2 linked regions of the Oreochromis niloticus genome follow. The protein of the gene in region 1 purifies or fractionates together with the protein of each later gene. This does not show direct contact. Links are inferred from orthologs where the notes say so. Each region holds a gene or a part of one and is shown in the gene's direction. Other genes may lie near its edges.

Region 1 (3,755 bases):
CACAACTTCTCATGACACAGATCCTACATATGCAACAACAAAGTTATTCAACTAAAACACAAAATTATTTTAATCCAGAAATGGATCATCTACAATGATGTCATCCAAGTTCAAAGATGGGTTGTTATCTTATAGTGAATTCCATGTTATAAATATAGAACATGTACCAGACATATCAGACAAATACTGTATTGTGACTAAAATAATAATAATAAAAAAACTTTAAAATAACAATAATAATTTAAAGCCTGGGAAGATTTAAACTGAATATTGATCATTTCTGTGATTTAAATAAATAAACTATTCCTCATTTATTTTGTTTGTATATGTATTCCAAAATATGCTGGATTAATGTGCAATAGTTTGTAATTTGAAAAAAACAACAACAAAAAAACAGGCAAAATGCCCATGCTTTATTATACAGCTGTTTTATTTTGTGAAAACACAGTGGATAAAAACATTTGTTTTCTGGGGAAGTTTCTGATAATTCTGGGAACGTTTCATGTACGTAAAATAAAATAAATTTTAAAAATGTTGGTATATTTTTAATTGATATCATTCTTTAATTTTCGCATAGATTTGAAAACTTAAACAGCGGCAACGACCCTAACAGTACTCGATATGTATAAAATTATTGACTAACAAAGGCAAATCGAATGCAGAAGAAACTCTGGTGCGAGCTCTATCACAATTTCCAAATATTATTATGTAATTTTTACATAATACATAATTTTTCCTCCCATTATTACGTTTCAACTGTTCCCTGGGACTGTATTTACCTCTTTTCGACTGTAAATCTGGTCATATACTGTCATTGTTATTGTTACGTTGCTGTTTATATTTGTTTAAATAAAGTTTCTGGAAAGAAAAAAAAGGCTGCAGCCCATGCTTCTTAGCCTACACACTAGCCCCTTTAGGATTGCTAGTTGTGTCAAGTTAATCGGGGTTAAGCAGAAAGTTTCCGGAAATGGCTGCTTGTCTTTTAAAATAAAGCGTCAAGTTTCCTTTTGGATACAAATTAGGGCACCTTTTACTATTTTTGTAAGGGGACAGTTTCATGCAATTAATACAAAGGAGTTACATACAAGTCGTAAATAGTCGGAACTGTTCTAAATCGAACTACTACAAATTTCATTACTTTTATTTTTGCGGAGCCAAACCGGAAGTGTTTTGCATATTTAAATTGCAATGACGCTGACTTAACGTCGCTGGGCTGTTGGCTAACAACAATGAGGATTGCTAGCAGTTTAAAGCGTCCTATTACAGTTTACTCGGCTTCTCTAAGGTACAGTACATAAACACGTGTAGCACTGTTAGCAGCACGTTAAAGTATTTGTGATAACTGGTGTGCAGTCTATTAAGTAGACATGATAATTTCCTGTGAGCGTAGAACAAAGTGAGCATTGCTAATGCTAACGTTAGTGAGCATATCCACTTGCCTTCGTGTCATCAAACTTACACGTCGGATGTTTTGGAGGTGCGCTTAACTTTAACATTTAAAAATGCACGCTTGTGTAACTGAATAGGCATGGTGTTTGTTTGTTTTATTTCAAATATGCGTAAATATTAAAATAAGTCAACGTGTACTTTGTGTGTCTTTTCCAAAATCCTTTATTAGCCTTGAACTGAAAACATTGTGTTGCATTAAAGTCACTACAGTAAAGAATAAACAAGATGGAAAAACTGTCCAGTGACACTCTAGAGCACTTTGATCGATCTGTGTTTGTTAATCCTTTAAATTTTAGCTGTTTGCCATTATTCGAAAGCTCATATATGACATGTAATAGTCTTACTTTTTTTGTTCTGTCTAACAGGGTAATCCTTGTGCTCTTTTGTTTTCTGTAGATTTGTGTTAGAGAATTGTAAGGTCATGTTTTTTTTTATGTATGGAGCATCCTGACCTTTTCCTTCTTTACTTTTGCAAGAGCAGTGAAATCTGTGTAATTTATCGTCGGAATGTAGGGCTTTCCCCCCCCCTTTCTTTCTTTCTTTCAACTTAAAAACTCTGAATGGAGCAACAGAAGATATTGGAGACTTATAAGGAAAGCTACACAGCCCATTACTATAAGTCAGCCTATCAACGTTACTAATAGGTGGAGAAACAAAAATCTTTTCACACATGCGGCTACTCTGCTGTAGCCTATTTATGCTTATCTGGTACTGTTAGCATTTTCATTATGATAATGCTATTTGTATAGCATTTTTGTAAGTATTATTTTGTTTTTATCTATTTTATTACCAACAAAATTTTTTGAAATGCAAAAGTAGCCTGTTTTAACAATAAAACATATAGCAACACAATATCTTTAGAAGTAGTAAAACAAACAAAAAACGACCAGTCTAAGTTTAATTTTGTGGGGCTGTTTGTTTGTTTGTTTGTTTGTTTGTTGGGTTCGTAGTCCATTTCTTCAGGGATTGCTAATTGTTTTGTCACAGCCACCTGGAGCCACGAGAGTGGGATCAAAGAGACTCATGTGGCTCCAGAGTTGCACTGATTTAGGTCAACATTGCATGAAATAACTCAGTTGTGTCGTTAAAAACATTTTCATATGATTTTAAGTAAGTACTGAAATATTACAAATAATGTTTTGTCACACTGGTCCTACTAGCTTTCCATTTATCTTTAATATTTTGGATTATACAACTATAAAATGTATTAAATTGCCTTAAAAAGGGATCCAAAGTAATGCATTTGCTGTTATGAACCCTGCAGAAGCCCTGTAAATGTGCAGTGGGAAGCAATGTTACTGCTTAACTGGAATCAGGAAATTTACACTTGCAATGAATGCATAAAATATTGCTGAGTCAGTAAACCTTTTATTAGAGCTGTTAGCATGAGTTTTTTTAGTATATTAAGGTACCTTGTATTTAAAAGAAAGCTGTGTCATTAACCATTATGTCCTTTTGCTTTTTTTAGGTTCTGAACTGTTCATCATTGCAACTTAATGCAGAAAACTCTCATTTTATTGCTTCAGAAGACTATCCGCGTAGTCCTAAATCCCCCTGGAAAACTTGTTAGATGTCAGAAATACTTCAGGTTGTGTAGGGCCTTTTCTGTCTATTCATGTGCTGAGCGTCTACCTTTGTCTTTTCATGAGTTACATTTTACAAGGAAAATCTCTGCGTTTTCCTCAGTATCCCAAAAGCACAGTCTTCTCCCAAACTATCCTCCCTGGTTTTTCCTGCATCGAAGTTTCTCCAATCAGCCGGATATGGCAGATCAGAGGTTTCTCGTTGAATACGCCAAACGTGGCACAGCAGGATGTAAGAAATGCAAGGACAAAATCCAGAAGGGAATAGTGCGCATAGGCAAAATTGTGCCAAACCCTTTCAGTGAGTCTGCAGGGGAGATGAAAGAGTGGTACCATGTGAAGTGTATATTCGAAAAGCTGGAAAGAGCCAGAGCCACCACGAAGAAGATCGAGGACATCACCGACCTGGAGGGCTGGGAGGAATTACAGGACGACGACAAGGAGATTATAAATAAACACGTTTCAGGTACAAAAGACACTCAAAATGTAAATTTCGTATTTTTAAAATGCTTATTATACAGAAAAATTGTCTGTGAACATACATTTATTGTATATTTAAACCCTTCTACTGCTCACAGGTAATATTTAAGCCTTGGCCAAAGGAAAATTTTACTTATTATTGGAATCAGATCAAGCTCCTGTGTTCATAAAGTCAACAATCAGTGAATCTCGGCTGCAGTGCACTTTTGATGTGGCCTGATCTATTCTTGAAATTTAAATTCA
Region 2 (3,755 bases), on another chromosome or scaffold:
TTACATATCTCGTTACTACTAAACACCTTTAAAAAGGGCATTCTTTTATTTATTTATATATATTTTACCTGCAAGATGACTTTCCAGCTCAATAGTTTTTGAAGGCAGGTGACACACAAAGAACTCTACCTGACAGAATAAAGAATCTGAAAGGGAGTGCCTATTTGAGGAGTTGAGGAGATAAGCTCATGAGTGGTAGGTTTACGATGAGGACAGCCCACAGACGGGCTACTGAACACAGCAAAAAATAAACAAAAGCATGGAAACTGACAGCAGTAGCTATGTCAACATTATCAATATGTCAAGGGTATAATCACTGATACACCCTAAATAAGTATGTAGCCCACGGAGAAACCTGCTCATCCTGTCATCATTAGTAAATAGTTGTGAATGATGAAAAGCACAACACAGAACTTTCTGGAGGTAAAATAAACAGCAGAATATAGTGTTTTTTAATCTCTGGGTTTTGCATTATATCAAAGTATAATATCTTTCAGCTTGACCATAGCATAGCGTGATTACACTTTATTCGTTCGTCGTTCCGCTTTAGACTTAAAGTTTGCATAATAAATAGTGATCAGTTGTTCGTCACACTAAATTAGTCTTTAGATGAGCTTTTAGCCCAAAGTGTAACCAGAACAATGTGTTACTTTGTCTTATTTCCGTATTAACTTTTTCTCCCGTCTCGCCCATTATAGGACCTGAAAACGAAAATAGTGACTCACCAATACTGATGTAATATTTAACTCCTTCAATGAGCAGCAAATGACAACGTCTTATTCCATCTAGGGAGAGTAATATGACTATGCATTGTTGTTATATTACACGTGTCAACAACGAGAGAGTGGCGACATGTTATGGAAATATTACGCCGTGGTCCAGTTAGCAGCACCTATGTTGTTGCGCTTTTCTTCCAGATAACACGGTACCAGTGCCGAATGACTCACAAACCCAGCAGAATAAAGTCTTCTTTATCCTGCAGTTTTTTGTTTTGTTTTTTTACCATGTGATTGCGCAGTCCAGAACACGTTTTGCTATATTAACAAATTATCATACACATGATTGTACATATATTGTACATTATCATTCTTACATTACACATTATATATATTAAAACTTAAGTGATTTCAATGCTGACTTCCCCCTCAAAAAAAGAAAATAAAAGAAACAAAATTATTTCAGCTCCAGCTAGCTTGACCGCGACTTTGCTCATATAACCTATACTTTGAGCGGAACTTCACGCGGGGACGACGTTGCTAAACGTAGGTATTTTTGTGTCGGACCGCGGGGACAACGCTGCAAAATCAGTTCCCTGCAGTTTCTAGTTCACACATTCTTCAAGTTTTTCTTTAGAAGACGAAAAGAAATTGAGGTAGTTGAAGTTGTAATGATGATAAACACTACTGCGTGAGGCCGTTTAATGTCCTGTACTTTGGCTTGACTAAAAAAAAGAGTTTCAAACACAAACACAGGGGCAGACAGCCTCTCTGTGGCCGCGTGTTCGAATGTCCTGCACGCTGGTTGGCGCCTCTGGAGCTCGGATCCCCCTCGAAGATGGACGGGCTGTGATTCTGGGCCGGGGTCCGGACACTGGTGTCACAGATAAGAAGTGCTCCAGACATCAGGGTGAGGCGTCCCGCTTATGTGCCACATTTACCGCGAGACCCTCTAGATTTAAATCTGCGAAGCTGTTAGTGCTCGTGCTCTGCTGAAGCTTAAACGTTATAACAAACCACCCTAAAGCTGTAAAGTACTTTACAGTGTACAGCGCAAGAAAATACTGCTAATGTGGCTGTAAGCTTTCATTCATTCATGTATTTATGTGAGAAAGTAAATCAGTGGTGCTGAGTTTTGTGTTTTGAGTGTCTTTCATTCACTCTACAAGTCACTAACAGGGATTTAAACTCATGATGACTGAACTTTGGTTACAATTTTACATACAGATATATGTACTTATTAAGTGAGGAGCTTAAAATTGCATCCACGGGGAGTCAAATAGAGCAAGAAAAAGAACCAGGCTGGTACTTTTTTTTTTTCCTTCCTGAAAATCAGTAGGTATGTATATAAATGTTTCAGTGGTTGGGGGCCAGATGTGCCCTACAATTCATGCCTGTGCTGGGGACCACAGTGGCCTCACACAGGTCCCAAGACAGCATGCTTACTGGGTGTTCTCAAAATTTTTTAAGGACAAACTGCAGGCCATGTTGAAATGTGCCAAATATTCAGGTAATAGCTCTTTGGGAATCACCATATTGGTGCAAACATACAGTTTTCTGCCTGGCAGACTGAGTTATCTTTGTTATTTCTCATAGGTTCCATTAAGGAAATGGCAACAAATGACTGTGTTCTTGCAACACAGTTTGGAATTGGTTCTTTAACTTTTATTTAAAGACACAACACTACTTCCTTCCTTGAATTAGATATAGTTTAATGCCAGTCAGTGTTAAGTGGCCTAACAAAAAAACAAAGAAAAAAAAAAAACTAAATAAAACAAAACAAAATTTTAAAAAAATCTCTCTGAAAACGGTCAGGTACAAGGAGTGGATTGAAAATGAGTGAAAAAGCAGCTAATGTCCAAAGAAAACTTTGAAGACCTTGAGAAATCCAGGAGAACTATTGCTCAAGACTTATTTAAAAAAAACAAGTCTGTTAAAGTATAACGACAACATGGGTGGCTCAAGACTTTTTTTGCACAGTACTGTATGTAATGGCACATGGTAATTTTCTAAATTAGGAAAGGCATTTCTTTCCTGCATTTAGTTTTGATATTGCAAAATAAACACTGCATTTAAATGGCAAATCTACATTAAAATGAGTTAAACAGTTGTTGTTTTGTCTTGTTTTAGTTTTTTTGGTCCCAGCTCTAGATGTGTATACATACGAAATGTGTGTGTGTGATTGTGTGTGTCTTTTTATTTATTACAGTGAAGGTGGTGGCTTGCTTTGCAGACCAGGATGTTGTTGTTACACAGGTATGAAGAACAAACACTGGGTGCCTCCACAGTAGAATAATGACCCTGCCTTTTAAACTAGAGCACACTCCCTTCAACATCACCGCGAGTTAATATTTAACTCCAAGCAATTACACCTGATCCACCCGCAACCATTGTGTCATTATGTTCAAAGCTGATGTCAGCACATTGTCCTCTTTGTCCACTCTTGTTACCTCACAGCTCATGTGCTAACTGTAACTGCTACAGTCCAATGTCCATTTCTCCACAGCTGGGTCCCAACCCCAGTTTCGTGGATGGTGAGAAGCTGGGCCGGGGTCAGTCTGGTAAACTCAGCCATGGAGGTACTCTCTACCTAGTTAACCAGAGCCACCCATTCGCACTGAACTACTCTCTGAGCTCCAACGGAATCACCTCCAGCACGGCACAGAGAGGGCTGAAAGCAGCAGATAAGACAAAAGGAGGGACAAGCTCGAAAGAAAAAGAGGCACAGTCCAGTCCCACACCCAAACGCAACATAAAGGATTTCTTCCCCAGCTCTCCCGTGAAGGTAAACCTCTGTGATGTATTGATTCATGCATCTAACTGTCTACAAGCATCTCTATATGTATAAAGAGGAGCCAGAATGAGAGAAATCGCTGTTTTGTTCCTTGTTATTTAGTCATCTAAAAGGCAACTGAGCCCAAAGAAAGAGCAACCTGAGGTGAAGCGCCAAAGACAAGAGGAGGAAGCTTCTGATAGGCAGATGAAAGAGGAGGAGCAGGATGAGGAGGAGAGACTGGCTGAGGAACGGCTCAAGCACCT

Evidence for each region. Proteins that work in one complex are often made in the same cells at the same time.
Region 2: the proteins of lig3 (region 1) and pnkp purify together in Homo sapiens (co-immunoprecipitation; 5 studies listed by BioGRID and IntAct, with this or other methods). This does not show direct contact. The link is inferred for Oreochromis niloticus from reciprocal best matches to the Homo sapiens genes LIG3 and PNKP.

The regions. Positions count from the first base shown.
Region 1 is NC_031975.2:27,120,180-27,123,934, forward strand, and holds the start of lig3 (DNA ligase 3), read left to right. Parts: upstream 1-1,136; 5' UTR 1,137-1,285; intron 1,286-2,917; 5' UTR 2,918-2,945; coding exon 2,946-3,498; intron 3,499-3,755. UniProt on the Homo sapiens protein: Isoform 3 functions as a heterodimer with DNA-repair protein XRCC1 in the nucleus and can correct defective DNA strand-break repair and sister chromatid exchange following treatment with ionizing radiation and alkylating agents.
Region 2 is NC_031979.2:9,018,779-9,022,533, forward strand, and holds the start of pnkp (bifunctional polynucleotide phosphatase/kinase), read left to right. Parts: upstream 1-1,198; 5' UTR 1,199-1,262; intron 1,263-1,268; exon of another isoform or gene 1,269-1,472; 5' UTR 1,473-1,505; coding exon 1,506-1,626; intron 1,627-2,925; coding exon 2,926-2,972; intron 2,973-3,173; coding exon of another isoform or gene 3,174-3,222; coding exon 3,223-3,501; intron 3,502-3,612; coding exon 3,613-3,755. UniProt on the Homo sapiens protein: Plays a key role in the repair of DNA damage, functioning as part of both the non-homologous end-joining (NHEJ) and base excision repair (BER) pathways.